2 linked regions of the Cricetulus griseus genome follow. The protein of the gene in region 1 interacts with the protein of each later gene in a pairwise test. Links are inferred from orthologs where the notes say so. Each region holds a gene or a part of one and is shown in the gene's direction. Other genes may lie near its edges.

Evidence for each region.
Region 2: the proteins of Sh3bp5 (region 1) and Sos1 interact in a two-hybrid assay, tested with the Homo sapiens proteins (2 studies listed by BioGRID and IntAct). The link is inferred for Cricetulus griseus from reciprocal best matches to the Homo sapiens genes SH3BP5 and SOS1.

The regions. Positions count from the first base shown.
Region 1 is NW_023276807.1:188,327,211-188,334,589, forward strand, and holds the end of Sh3bp5 (SH3 domain-binding protein 5), read left to right. Parts: intron 1-1,172; coding exon 1,173-1,215; intron 1,216-1,885; coding exon 1,886-2,105; intron 2,106-4,067; coding exon 4,068-4,328; intron 4,329-4,652; coding exon 4,653-4,870; 3' UTR 4,871-6,159; downstream 6,160-7,379. UniProt on the Homo sapiens protein: Functions as a guanine nucleotide exchange factor (GEF) with specificity for RAB11A and RAB25. Inhibits the auto- and transphosphorylation activity of BTK. Plays a negative regulatory role in BTK-related cytoplasmic signaling in B-cells.
Region 2 is NC_048600.1:3,604,309-3,612,246, forward strand, and holds the start of Sos1 (son of sevenless homolog 1), read left to right. Parts: upstream 1-3,471; 5' UTR 3,472-3,565; coding exon 3,566-3,652; intron 3,653-7,938.

The DNA.
Region 1 (7,379 bases):
CCTCTGATTTCTGCCTGCTCCCTCATGTTCACATGCATCTATAGACAATGTTCATGTTTGTTACTGCCATTCAGTAGATATATGTGACCTTCTGGGGAGACACAGCTGGGAGAGGTGGTGAGGGCTCCTGGAAATCCCTCCCCTCCCCCATGGCTGAGGGAGAAGCCTTTCATGCTGCTTGCTTTGTTTGGTGTGAATACATGGAGTTTGAAGACCCTGGTGCCCTCTGTACACTTCTCTCTCACTTGACCTGCCCACTCATCATTGAGGAAACAAACTCCCTGTGGCCACACTCTGCCAACCTGTCAAGATAACTTTGGATGACTCTTGCCTGCCTGTGAAACTAGATGCCAGTCTGTGCCTTCCATAGAATGGCTTCTGGGGCTCTGGTAGGTCCACTCCTCCTTCCTGTTGCCTTGGTCACACTCCCTTCCCTTGTTCTCCATCTTTGACATTCATGTTCACATTTCTTTTACTTGGACATCTCATACACCCACCATACTTTTCTCTACACCTTGGCTGGGCTGATATCCACTCTGTTTGGCCACTAAAAGGAGCTTATGCCCACATCTCAGATTTTCCTTATGCACCAAAGAGGTCCTGCAATGTGTTGTCATCAGCAATTACAGATGCAGGACTAAGGAAAATTTGACAGAGGAGAAACAGCTCAGACACTAAAGCTGCTACAAAGTGCCAGCTCTTCTGTCTGACCCAGAGTTTGGGGGACTTGACTTTTTCCTTGCCTGATTGTTTCACTGACTAACCTACCCTTGATCACCTGTACAAGAGGACTGACTTGAGGTTGAAGACATGGCAGCCCTGCTATACCCAGCTGACAGCGAGTGGTATTGCTTCCTTCCATAGTTGGTCTCAGCAGAGGGAATGTTTTTAGCACCTGTTCCTCAGCCCATCTTTTTTATTGGTCAGTAGATCCAAGCAGTCTTCCTAGAGTAAAACAAACCAGGATGCAAGGTTTCCAAAATCTTGAGACGGGAGTGAGGTGACTACTGAACTTATGTATCTACTGAAGCCTTAGGTGAGCCAGTAGCTCTGCTGGTATCTTTGGAACTGCCGTGGCCTAAATCCTGAATGGCCCGACTAGCTTAAGTGGGTGTATCTACAGGAGTTCACCATGCAATCCTATTCTTACATTTTCTTCCTGTCTTTTGCAGGCCTTATTTTGAGCTCAAGGCAAAGTACTACGTGCAGCTCGAGGTATGTGTGACCTTGGATTTGCCACCGTTTTGTTCTCCACCCCTTCTCACACTCAAAACTCAACTTTAGTGTGGTATAGCAGGCCTTCAGATGACACAATGTGCTGTGAGAGAATGGAGAAACGTATTCCTAGACTTTAGTTTTCAGATAGTCTTGGGTGTTGTCTGGAGCTATTGCCACTTGCTCGCTGAATTGCACTAACTTACTAGGTCTCAGTGTGAGCTCCCAAGATAAGCAGTCCTGGAAACTTTTTCGTAGTACAGTTCCCAGGCTCTCCACCCTACTGTCAGAATCTTTGGGGGTTGGGTCAGCAGTCTGCATTGTAAGTGGCCCTACAGACAATTCAGATACGGGGGCCAAGAACTTCTGTCTGGGACCAAGTGAGGAGGCTTCAGGACTTGATGTATCTATTGTTCCTTCTCTGAGGGCTACATTCTATTAATAACCATTTCTGCATGTTCTTGTCTGTCACACGGACTGGTGTTGAGATGTAATGATTTTCTTTATAGTGAATGGGTAGCCATGATGAAAGTAACTGGATCCTCCTTAAGGCCATCATGATCATGTCAGGCGTTTTAGGAAGTTCTATGCTGTAATCATGTGAAACCCCTCTCTCAATGGGGATATGCAGAGCCACTTTGACTTACCAGGCCCTCCATCTTTCAATTAGCAACTGAAGAAAACAGTGGATGACCTTCAGGCCAAGCTGGCCCTGGCCAAAGGCGAGTATAAGGCAGCCCTGAAGAGCCTGGAGAGGATCTCAGATGAGATACATGAGCGGCGACGTTCCAATGCCATGGGTCCTCGGGGCTGTGGCGTGGGGGCTGAGGGCAGCATCACATCAGTGGAGAACCTGCCTGGGAGCAAACCTGAGCCTGATGCCATTTCTGGTGAGTCTCTCCAGCAGGGATCACACAAGCATGTGTGATCTGCTTTCAGGGCTATCTTATCCCACAGTCCCTATCCTTTGTCCATCACTTAAGAATTGGAGAGTTGGGGGCTGGAGAGATGGCTCAGAGGTTAAGATCACTGACTGCTCTTCCAGAGGTCCTGAGTTCAATTCCCAGCAACCACATGGTGGCTCACAACCATCTGTTATGAGATCTTCTGCCCTCTTCTGGTGTGCAGATATACATGGAAGCAGAATGTTGTATACATAATAAATATTTAAAATCTTAAAAAAAAAAAAGAATTGCAGAGTTTGGCAACCCTGCAGGCTGTTTGATGGTTTCTCATGTTTTGTGGGACACTGTGTTCATTGGCTTGCTACTGAATGTTAGCATTCTGTGGTCAAGTAAGTTTGGAAAGTGTTCCACCTCCACCCCTCTTAAATAGTCTAAGTACATATTACAACATTCAAGACTTGAAGTTCTGAGGACAGATTTAAAAGGGACTTGGGACCCAGATTTGATTGTGACCCCACTTTACCACTGCACATGGGCTAGTGGGCCTTCATGTGTTAGCTGCTTCAGCTTTGTGACGGGGACAGTGTCTCCTATGGTAAGGAGGGTTGTGAGAAGTGACAGCTGGCAGGTCTCCCTGGGGTCTGACCACATGGGTCTCTTCTGTCCAGGCATATCCTGTGCAGATAGGATAGAGGACTGACCTAATTTCTGTTTATCAAGAAAACTACACTGTGACACTCAACACTTCACAACTTTTCTTTTCTTTTCTTGTGGAATAATCCATTGTGGCTCTTTTAGGCCCTGTCTTCAGACATTCTTTTTTGTTTTTCCTTATTAGTATTATCTTTAAAAATAATTTGTGTATGAGTGTTTTTCCTACATGTGTATCTATGTATACCACATGCTTGCCTTGTGTTAGAAGATGTCAGATGCTCTGGAATTGCAGGCATTTGTGAGCTTCTATGCGTATGTTGGGAATCAAACCTGGGTCCTCTGGAGGAGCAGCAGGTGCTCTTAACCACTGAGCCATTTCAAGCCCCATCCTCAGCAATTCTTGAAAGCCATCAACAAATGCTGAGTTGCCAGGTTGAAGGGAAATGAAACTATAATGTAATCAGTGGCTATGAGTGAGTTACTTTATACATCACTTCATTAATCCTGTCCATAGAGCATTTGAGCAGTCAAGTTGCTTGACAAGGCCACACAGTCAACAGTGGAGTTAGGATCTGAATTCATTCAGTCTGTCTGAAGCAGTATAGTACTTAGAACAATCCTCTCAGGAATGCTAGAGGCCATTTTTAAAGATGCCATAGGTGTAAAGGGAACTAGGAAGGATTTTAGAAGCGAGAATGCAGTCTGAGAGGCTCTGAAAACAAGATGGTATGTCTCTGTGCCTTGGTTATTCTGGTCCACAGATTCAGGCACAGTCAGAGCATTGAAAATGAATGTTCTTTGTTGCAAACAGTTAAGGGCATCTCGTGAGATCAGAAGATACTACAGACATTCCAACAGCTCTTGCTGCTTACGCCAGAAGGAAGACCTTCAGTCTTCACTGTAAGATTGCCTCTGTGTAGGACACATTTCAAAGGGCTAGTGTCTAAATTTATCTGTCTTCCCTTTCCTTCAGTGCTGGGGATGGAAACCAGGCCTTTGTATATACTAGACACGCACTCTGCCCTAGCCATCCCTAGCTGTCCTTTATCTAGGTAGCACTTGCTGGCACAGAATTAGAGCAGGAGTTAAATTCCTCTAGAACACAAACTTTGCACAGGAGCTAGCTGCTGCTTCCTTTCAAATGCTCTGGAGGCTGGTCAGAAGAAGGCTCAGGAAGGTTGTAGGTCCTGCCGACTCCATGCTGTGGGACTGCCTGCCCGCAGAGAGCAAGCCTTTAGGAACTGGGGTACTACTTAGCAGACTCCATGTGACTGATGTTCTCTCTCACCATAGTGGCTTCCGAAGCCTTTGAAGACGACAACTGTAGCAACTTAGTGTCTGAAGATGACTCAGAAACCCAGTCTGTATCCAGCTTTAGTTCAGGACCAACAAGTCCATCTGAAATTCCTGACCAGTTCCCTGCAGTGGCAAGACCCGGCAGCTTGGATCTGCCCAGCCCTGTGTCCCTGTCTGAATTTGGAATGATGTTTCCAATACTGGGCCCTCGAAGTGAATGCAGTGGGGCCTCCTCCCCTGAATGTGAGGTGGAACGAGGTAAGTTGCAACCCAACTTGTGGATTGTTTGTGCCTTTGCTTGGGCTCTGCCTGACCAGCTTCAATAACATAGAACTTAGGTCCTTTGTCTCTCCTTAGAACAGTCCCCTTCACTGGTTTGATTCCTAGCTACAAAATGAGGATGAGTGTATCTCTAAAGATACACACTAAGGAATAAATGCAGTGTATCACCCAGTGCTGGAGAACCCCTGAGATGCATGGTGGGTGGCGTGGGAACTGCAGAGGGCTCAGGCGGCTGATGCCAGTGCCTATGGTACTCTTGGAACTGTCAACTCCCATTTGGCAACCTTTGTATCTCTACAGGAGACAGAGCAGAAGGGGCTGAGAATAAAACGAGTGACAAAGCCAACAACAACCGCATTTTCGGCAACAGCAACAGTGGTGGTAGCAGGGGCAGGAGCCAAAGCAGCACATCCCTTGAGGGCCAGACCTTGGAAACCCGTATGAAGCAACTCTCTCTACAATGCTCAAAAGGAAGAGATGGGATTATTGCTGACATAAAAATGGTGCAGATTGGCTGATCCATGTGCAATGGATGGCTATGGATGGCTATGACCCATGTGCAAATCACATTTATACATGAAACTCAAGAAACATCGTGCCAATAATCATTTAACATAAGCCAAATAGTATGCATTTACTCTAAACTGCACTAACCAAGTTTCAGTGATCTTGAGGGCTGAAGAATTTCCCTCTGATAAGAGCTCTTGGGCTGGTGTGTTTTTCAGAGCAGAGCCATTGCAGATAAACTGTGACCAGGGTCACAGCCTTTGCAGAACATTCCCTGTAGCGGCAGTGTGGAAGCAATAACTAGTTTCTGTGAAAGAACCTGAGCCAGGAGGAGAACTGGACACTTAGCCAGACTGGGGTCACCAGCCTACATCTCTATCCCCTCTGCCCCCTCTGTTTGGGGAAACTGAGATGTTTTCTCCATTATATCACAGGGCACCAAAATAATTTTCAAACTCACACAAAAACTCAAGTGTTCAGAACACATTGTTTTGACCTAGTGAAAGCTTAAAAACAATGCCAAGAACACAATTCATCTTCATCACCTCTGGTGCTCAGAGGGGGATTTAAAAAAAAAAAAAAAAAAAAAAAAAAAAAGCATGTCTTCTGGGACACCAATTAAAACCATTTCCTAGGAAAGCCACCATGAACTGCACTTTTGGGGGGTGGGAAAGGTGAATGAATGCCAATGTGGGGATGGGTAATGAGGTTGCAGGGACATAGCATAGAGGGGATTTGTGGCTGTGGGAGGCTCTATAGCCTGACTTTAGCCTGCCAGCCAAGGGGGGGTATATTCTAAGACAAGTGCATGTGAAGAATGGTTGCCACTGTTCTATCTAGACTGACAAGAAGTTAATTTCTCTGTAGGCTGTAACTTCTACAATAATTGCAATTATTTAAGGTTTATGCTGCACCTAGTATTCCTTAGAGGAAACGGTCCTTAAAGCTAGGAAAGGGAGTGGGCATGTACTGGCAAAGGCTGGTAAATAGAAGCAATGGATGCCATGATAATAGTGTGTTTAGACTTAGTGTTTATGGTTATGCATATTTAGGGCACTGTATTTTATCTGTCCTGTTTTATTGATTTGGCTTTTCTGAAGAAAAAAGCACCCCCTCCTCCATTTCTTAATTGTCTCTTAATTCTGTCACAGCTTGTATATTTTAGCCATGTATGTATAGCTTCATACAACAGTGGTTTCTCCTTTTTTATTGATGGATACAGTATCCTAATTACAAGGTTATTTTGTACTTGTTTTAATACCTTGAGGGTAATAAAAACTAAGAAAACTTTGTGACTTCAGATGAGAAAGCCTGCTGTTGTCTTACTCTGGGAAATGCCATCGCTTTAAGAAAGCCCATAGAGTGCAGTGGGCATCTGCTCTCTTTTTCAGGTAAGATGGTAATCCTGGTCATTTAAGATCAATCCCAAGGTCTGGATTCGAATTCTACTCATGCATGGTGTTACACAGGTGTGCACCAAGGAGAGACAGGCAGGCAGCCCACAGGTGACACTCAGCTTCACTGGGGTGGGGGTAGGGGTGGGATAGGGGCTAACATCCTGTGATATGGTTTGTCAGTCTGATTTAATTTGTGGTACACCTGGGCACTTTTTCAAAGGAGTATCAGATTTTAATGTATATGCTGCATACTGAAATGTGTTGTGGGATAAGTGCCCAGTTAGTGTTGCCTATTAATGTTCTCAGAAGTCCCTTTCAACTGCTCTGTTCCCTGTAGCCGAGACTTTGTTTATTTCTCCTTCCTATCAACATTTGTGAGGTAAAGTTGTGTAGTTTAATGTTTAGGATCTACCACGGGGGATTTCTGGGTCACCTATCACCCTGAATGTTGTTTCTTCCATTTGCCTTTTAAGTGGGAGTCACACATTTACAGCAGGGAATAGAAGATAGAATTTTCTTGTGTTGGGAATCATAGTACTATATCCCTTACTTGGGCACTGGGGCTTCATAATCTGGCCTCTGACCTCAATTCCCCATCCCCATCAGCCTGGGAATGCACAACCTTTGACCTGGCTCCTGTTTCACAGTGCTCCTCACATTTCCAAGTTAAAGCAGGGCCACTGTTGCCATCATGGCCTTCTTACTTTCTCTGCAATGTTGGGATTCGCTACTCTTTTGACTTTATTTCAAGTTTATATGGCCAAGTGAAATCTCATTGATACAAATCTTCCAACTACTGAAGTAAAAGCTATCCCTGAATCATGTATTTTCATGCACATCTATCTTTTATAAGGAATACAGTAGATTAATCCAATAAATCAAGTTCTGAAGGTTAAACTAAAGACACTTTCCATAAGTATAAATATTTTATTTCAATTAAAGGCAGTAGAAATAGTTTTGATAATTATAAAGTAGAGACAATGACAGATCCCATCCTATTTTTCAGAATTTTTAAATCTTGAGCATCATTCTGTACTGATGATTTTTATGTAAACAAATGGGAATTTACACAACACTAATTCCTGGCAACTTACTTTTTATGAATGCTGTATAACTCCATCAC
Region 2 (7,938 bases), on another chromosome or scaffold:
CCCGTGAGACCCCGAAATTCACGGGCAGGAATCCCGTATGGAGACTTAGGGCTGTAGACAAAAGATATCTGCGTTGGGGGTGGAAGGGGGTGGGGCGCAGGTCCTGTGAGAGTTCCTAGAGTACCAGGGGGTCTGGGGTGGAGGAAAAGGTACAGGTACTCCAGACACTCGGAACAGCACGTGCTCGCCTAAATCAGGGACGGGTGCGCGGGAGGCAAGAGGGAGAGACGCGTTTGAAGCGGCGAGTAGTTGGCGTGACTATGCTTATCGACGAGTACCAGGTTAAGGACTTCGGACTTCGTTCTGGGACACCAGTAGATACTCGTGAACAGAAACGTAGCTAGATCCCAAGCGGGCTTAAGGTTCCTGCGGCGGCGACGGAGGAAACCAGGCGGTCCTGTCCCGGCCTGCGGGGCCACCCTTCCGCCTGCAGGGAGCGCTGTCGGGGCCGGGCGTCCTCCCCGCCCCCTCCCTTGTTGCTGCAGGCCTGATGCGCTCGGAACTCGGCTTCTCTGCCTGGACTCTGCTGCCTTGGGAGGCGACTCGTGAGTCGAGCCGCACCCCCGTGCGTGCGTCACCTCCGCTCTGGCGGACAGGCCACTGGCACCGCCGAGTGGCGCCGAGGGAGCCTCTGCGCTTGCGCCGAGCAGAGCTCGGCGGACCTCTGCGCGAGAACGCACGCGTGTGAGCCTGGCGTAGCCGTCTGCCGCTAGGCGTTTACTTTTGTCCTAAGAGGTGCAGGCAGACAGTTGACAGAGGCTTGCTTCAGTCGCGCTGGCTTCGCCTCCGGCGACTCCTCTGGGAAGCAGTCTCCCTGGAGCCGTTTGTCCTCTGTCTGCAGCCACAACTTCACAGAGGTGGAAACCTGCTCGCCTCTGCACGTAAATCCTAGTCGAAGGGAGTCTTGGAGTTCAATTACCAGTCCTTTCATGATCTCTTGACATCTTGAAATGAGTGAATGTGGTTCTGCTTACACAATCTCAAAGATCACCTCTCCTGGAGCTCACGGTGTAGACCAGGCTGTCCTCAAACCCACACTGACTCACCTACCTCTGCTTGCCTCGTGCCGAGTGCACAGGCAACTCCTTGTATTCCTACTTCGGGTTTCTTCTGTGCGACTTTGATGTCTTTAAAACAATGCTTCCTGCTGTGCACATACTAAATCGTGAGATATAATAATGAGCTCCATACAGAAAAGCGTTATCTTTTGACATTTACATTCTAGTGAGGGGAGATCAGGAAGAGCGGACGACAGAGTGAGGGCTAGGAAAGAGTGACATAGACACATGGTAGACTCTAATTACACTCATCACAAAAGGTTAAAAGTAGTCACGTGAACAGCTAGGTGCTCCAGATTGGGAAAAGCCATGCAAGCGGGAGCTTTGTTTTCTGGGAATTGACAAGGACAGTGTGACTAGAGTCTGATGAACTGTGATTGACAGTTGTGAGAAAATGTTAAGAATGTTCTAAGTAGGAGTCAGGTGCATAGCTTTGTGCAGAACTTTGAAGTATGTGTTCTTTAGTTTTCCAGATAGCCTTTCCTGTAGCGCTTGGTAGCCTGGAGCTCACGGTTTACCTGAGACTGTCCTTGTACCTCTGCCTCCCTCCCAAATGCTGGGATCGGAGGCTTGTGCCACGGCTCTCGCCTTGAATTGTATTTTAATAGTAACGAGAAGCCAAGATACAGTTTTCTATAGAGAGCCAATTTGGTTCAGTCACTTTGGACCACACAAACCAGTCGCTGAAAATAACGTGTTTGTTGGTCTCTGAAACTCCTTTTCCCTCCTTCCCAAGCTGCAGTTCCACTGCCTCTCTCTTTAAAAATTTATTTTGTATGTGGTGCACCTGCCACTGAGCATGTATGAAGGTCAAAAGACAACTTTTAGCAGTTAGTTTTTCTCTTTCTACTGTATGGGTCCCTGAGACAGAACTCTCAGGTCTCAGGCTTGGTGGTAATGCCCTTTATTGGCTAGGTCATTTTACCAGCAGATCTGCTCTACTGTAACTCAGATGGTTTACAGATGGACTCCAAAATGTCATCTTGAACACGTTCAAAGTATGGGGGGTGAAAAATATATTCTGTGTGTATATTATAAAGGGGAAGATGTGACGACTTCATCCAGATTCTAGGAGATCGTCTAAAGATTAAGAACACTGGTTTCAAACATGTTTCATCTGTGAGATCTTGTTTATTGTACTCCAAAACAGCAGGACATAATGTCAGTTTGAGCCCAGGCTGGTTCTTCGAACTGTCTTCTCAACTATGAAATTAAAACTCTGAGAACTAAAACACTTTACTCGGAAAGCGTTCAATGATAAAGCATAACGTGCCACAGTGTTGCACAATGCCACTGTCACAAACATCTGCATCCCTGGGATGGAAGGACAATTTGTAGATACTGCTTCTACAGCGTTCCGGGATCTTCATGTCTCTATTCTGGGTCGTGTGCCAGAAGAAAAAATAAACCATTCCTTTCAGAAGCTAATTATCCAACTGAAGCCGTGAAAGATACAAAGCAGGGTGGACTAAGCCCGTAAATGTGGCCTGTGGGTTTGAGTAGACGCGATCAATGACTACTACACATACACGTTTTCATGTTATGGAAAGGACGAGGGAAACAGGACGACCTCTCCTCCCACCGGACAAATACTGAGCAGAGGTTTTTGTGAGACGGAACCTATCTTTTGTGCTATCTGTTTGGTATACAGTGCATGCTCAGGGCACTCCTTATCTTCATGCTGGGAACAAAGTACACACACCCCTTTCTGAGACCCAGGGTCTTAGGACCTCCTGGAGCGGCATGGGCTCCGGGCCTACGGGGCCACACAAAGGGGGCGTTTTGCCTGCTCACCCCCCCCCCGCCCCACACACACCCAGGCCCTTCGGTCCCGGGTTCGCCTTCAGGGTCCCTCGGCCCCGCCCCTGCAGTGCCCTCCCAGCCTCTTGCGCGCGCCCCTCCTCATCCGCGGGCAGCCGGAAAACCCGGAGCGAACCGGCCTGGGCCGGCGGCGCATGCTCAGTCGCGGGCAGGTTCAGTTTGCTACTAGGAAGCTCCAGCGCTACACGCGGCGGCGGCGGCGGCGGCGGGCGGCGGCGGCGGCGGCCCCAGCAGCGAACTCCGGCCCTTCCCCGCCTCCGCCCGACCCCGGTCCCCGGGCTCCGCCCCGCTCCGAGCTTCGCGCTCGACTTCCCCGCAGGCCAGCGGGAGCCACCGGTTAGAGCGTCCCTCCACGCGCCGTCTCTCGGCGGCCCAGGCCGTGCCGGGGAGCGCAGTCCGGTTGCGGGCGTCGGAGGGCGGCCCGGGGCGGAGCGGGGGGCCTGCCCCGGGGCGGTGGTGCGGGATGCAGCCGCCGCCACCGTCGGGCTGCGTTGGTTCTCGGCGACCGGCGCGCGTGTCGGGTGGGTGGGCGGGCCTCGCCCCCAGCCGCCTCGCCAGCGCTAGCCCGGCCGCGCGGCGCCCGAAGGGGCCGGGCTGTGCGCGGGCTGCGGCCCTGCTCCGCTCCGCTCCGCGCCGCGCCGCGAGCCGCCGCCCCTCCGCCCGCCCCGAGGCGTCCCGCGGGCACCATGCAGGCGCAGCAGCTGCCCTACGAGTTTTTCAGCGAGGAGAACGCGCCCAAGTGGCGGGGGCTGCTGGTGCCGGCGCTGAAAAAGGTAGGAGCGCCGAGCCCGCTCCCGGCCGCAGCCCGCGCCGGGCTGGCCGAGAGCGGGGAGGCGGGGCGCGCACCGCCGTCTTTCTCCCTGGTCGGCAGGGTCCCCGGGAGGACCGTGCAGGCGGCGATCTTCCCCGCGCCCGGCTGCTCCAGCTGTTGACACCCGCCCGGCGTGCGTGGGAAGGCCACACACAGTTGGGGAGGGTTGGCCCCGATAATCCAAGCGCTGAGGCGACGGTTAGAGGAGCCTCGGTTTACCGTGGAGGTCAAAGAAGGCCACTGCCTACCGTCTCGGTCTTAGCGAGCTGCGGTCAGCCTCCCGTTTTGGGAGTCCAGTGCGCTCTTACTGGCTGGAGAGTGCCCTGGCCACAGTGCTTGCCTAAGTAATTGCGAGGTAGCCTGCCAGCAAGAACATGGCCTGCTTGGCTTTGCTCGCCTTCAGTCACTAACTCCCGGTCCTTTTGACACTCCCCCAGCCCCATTACAGGGGTGATGCACATGCCACTGTGTTCAGATGGGTTCTTCTGGGGAGTCTGAGAATCTTTGAACCCTTGTTTGGTTTGGCGCTTTGTATTTTTAGTCTTTGTGTGTTACTTTGATTTTACCAGAGGTTAAAGTAAATTTTTTTTGAAAATGTTGCTACATTTTAAAAGCTCCTAAAGCAACACTGTAAACAGTCTGTTCTTTGGTTTGGCATTTCGAATTTTTAGCCTTTGTTTTTTAGATTGCTAGTGACTAAATCTTAAAAGCTTCCAAAGCAACATTGTTACTTAGTAGATTCTGTAGTAAGACATCTGAAACAGAGGTGGTTGAGTGGATTTTAAAACAACCGGATTGTTTTTGCTCACATTTGCCTTACCTGTAAAAACTGCTTTACTCTTTCAGTAGTTTTAATCTAAATTTCTTGTTGCTCAAATAGTTTTCAAGCTATCTTTGCTAAAATACAGCTTTGTTTCAATTGAGAATTGAGAGTGTTTACTGTACCATTGTGTGGAGGCTTTTATTATACCAGAGAGTTTTGAAAGGTGTTTCATAGTCCTCAAAGGCTAGCAACTTTTAGTTTCTCCTTTGCCCTGTTCATCCCTTCCCCTGTTGGTATCTTACGGTGGAAATTGCCAGAAGACTTTGTTTTTATTTTTCATATTTAGGTTACTGGTTTCTATCCTCAAGTGTCTCACTGCTTACAAACCTCTGTGGTGTTTTTCTATGGAAATCAAAGAGGCCACCTTGTCGTGCATACTTTGTTCATTAATGATCCCATGAGGCCTCACTCCGTCTTTTTTTACATTGGTTTACCTGCACACTTGACTGCTTAGCTTGTAGAAGTGGAGAAGTGTGCCTCAAGATGCTTGAAGCTTGGTATCTTGACAAGATGAGAGAGAAGAGTTGATTTATATGTATAAAAGCCCTCACAGGACATTACCAGTTTGGGGTATTTGGTTTAAAAGCAAGGAGCTCAAAAATAACACTTGAGAACCCTTTGAAGTGGTGGAAAGTGCATTGTAGAAGTTGGCAGACCTCTCTAACCTGCCACATGGGTGGCCCTTGGTGAAATCTATTCACAGACACATTTGTTTGGCTGTCATTGTGGTGTTTTGTTTTTTAATTTATGTAATTAGTTGCCACTATCCTAAATGAAAAGTATCACATAGGCTGAATTCCTATTTTGTTCTTGAGTTATAGACAGTCTTGCCATTTTCACACAACAGTAAATTACTAGAGTTGTAAGTGGCTGCCTTCTTGAGAAAGTGTTGTGTTTCCAGTTTAACACAGTGTTACTCAGGTTGGTTGGTTTTCCATTTCAAGCAGAGGTATCCCTGCAGAAGTGATGTGTTTATAGAATCTTCCTAACATGTAAGGTTCTTCTCATTTAAATTCTCACCTACAATGCTCTTCAGACACCTAAGACAGCTTGGACATATTTTTCATAATCTGAATATGCTCTTGTATCTTAAAATTACTGAATTATCATCTATGTGCTGGGCATTTCATGTAGATGTGTCCATGGACATTTTGTGTGGGTGTGTCCTTATCTTGAACTCTTTCTTCAGACTTTAAACTACTTGTATAATGCCTAACTATGCCTTTTCTTACCGGAGGCTTTTTGGACAGACTGTTCCTTTTATCTGGTCTAATACTACTCAATCTCAGAGATTTTTCCCAAACCCTCAGGGCTGAGTTGGATAGTGCTCCATTGTTTCATGCTAGCATCTTATCCTAACGCAGCAGTGCCTTTTAAGTTCCAGTTTACCTATCCATGCTTTCCATTCCCAACCAGAGAATAGGAATGTTATCCTACTGTGCCTGACACCTGTTAGGATTCATTTTGAACAAGTGCTTTTGTGTGTTACTTTGAGTTTGCCAAAGGTTAAAGTAAATTATTTGGAAATGTTGCTACATTTTAAAAGCTCCTAAAGCAACATTGTGACTTAGTAAATCTTCAAACTGTCTTCCCGCTTTTGGTTTGGCAGTTTGAACTTTTAGCCTTTGTATGTTACTTTTAGTTTGCCAGTGGTTAAAGTTATTTGAAAATGTTGCCAAGTGCGTAAGGGGATACTCAAAATAAAACTACCCCTCTTCCGCCCCCACCAGTTTTTAACTTCTTGGTTAATGGCTTTAGAATTTTATTTGGTTGGCTCAAAACTCTGAAGTCATCCCTGCCTCTTCTCTGTGTACTGCTGCCCACCTTCAGACAAAACCTTATGTTTATCAACATCTAACATGCTTTTGTAATCTGCTCTCCTAACCGCTTGGAGTTTCCTCTCCCGGATGACTGTGATAGGCTCTCAACTGAGTCCCTTGCCCCAGTCCACTTGCTTTTACATATTTCAGACGTTATAATATACCTTTGAAAGTGTTAAACATTTGTTTAGAATTGTTGATGTCCTTCAAGTTAAAATATTTTTAGCATGGAATTTATAAGATGGCTCTACCCTGACCTTCCTATTTGATTCCCTATCAAAATCTTTCTAGATAGGACTGCTACTTTTCCTGAATCTATTTATTAGGCCCCATGGTATCTGTCACGTCCCACAAATACATGATGCTTGTCTCAGAACAAGTGTTTGCCCTTGGCACTATGGATAAATGGCATAGCTTTAAAAGGTGGCAGCGGGTATATCTAGATAAAAAAAACTCGTGCCTCATCCTGTAGCCCAGACTAGTATTGCATGTGCAGCCTGGCTGTCCTGGCTCAGCCACCCTAGTGCTGGGGTTGTAAGTATGGCCTAGCACATCTGGCCAACGAGGAAGTAACACTTGATTTGAATTTTGGTCAAGGAAAGGAAAGAATGGGACCTAAGGTAAGGGAGAGAAGCTGCAGCCTGGTTTACTAAGTTCATCTAAGAAGAGAAAGTACCCATTTGTTTTAGGATGGATGCTATGTGAATGGTATTGAAAAGGCAGAACTGTCAGGCCTTAGCCCCTCACTAATGACTGCAGAAGTGTTAAGGAAGTGGGAAGAATCTTTTCAATTTTGCTTGCAGTCATGTTGATTTTAAAGGCTTTTTGGATTGTCTAGGCATATTTCTCCAGTTGGCAGCTCAGTTTTGATACCTTATGCAGCAGATTTGGAAGTCTGAGACAGAAACCAAATGAGGTCTTTGTCTATAGAAAAACTTAATATGGGTCAGGTTTGGTAGTACGAGCCCATCATCCCAGCTACTCAGGAGATCAGTGCAGGAAATTAAATATTCAAGGCCAGCCAGGACAACTTTTGCAAGAATTTGTCTCAAAACAAAAAGTAACAAAAGAACTGGAGATGAAGCACAGTGGTATAGTAGCAGACCGCAAACCTAGTGTGTCTGAGACCCTGCATTCAATCTACATTACTGACAAACATACATAGGAATATTTTTGGTAGGTTTGTTCCACTCCAAACAACAATCTAAATATCTATTTGTCTATCAGTAATCAACAAGGAAATGAATGAACAAATTGAATATAGCCATATAATGGAATAAAAGGGAATGAGGGTTACTGATATACATGTCAATATGGCCAGCCCATTTAATAACTGATAAAGCCAAACTAAAGCAACATGCTCTATATAGCTGTCTCATACTCCTGTTGTCACAGCATGAAGGCAGAGGATCAGGAGTTAAGGTCATTCTTAGCTATATAGGGAGTTTGAGACAATAACAAAATGGAAGAGACTTTTATGTTTCCTTATCTTGATTGTGCTCATGGTATCATATATGCTAGGTACTGTCAGATTATACAAGTTAGATATATACATTTTATTGTTGTCTTGTTGTTTCTCAACAAATACTGAATACCAATATAGTT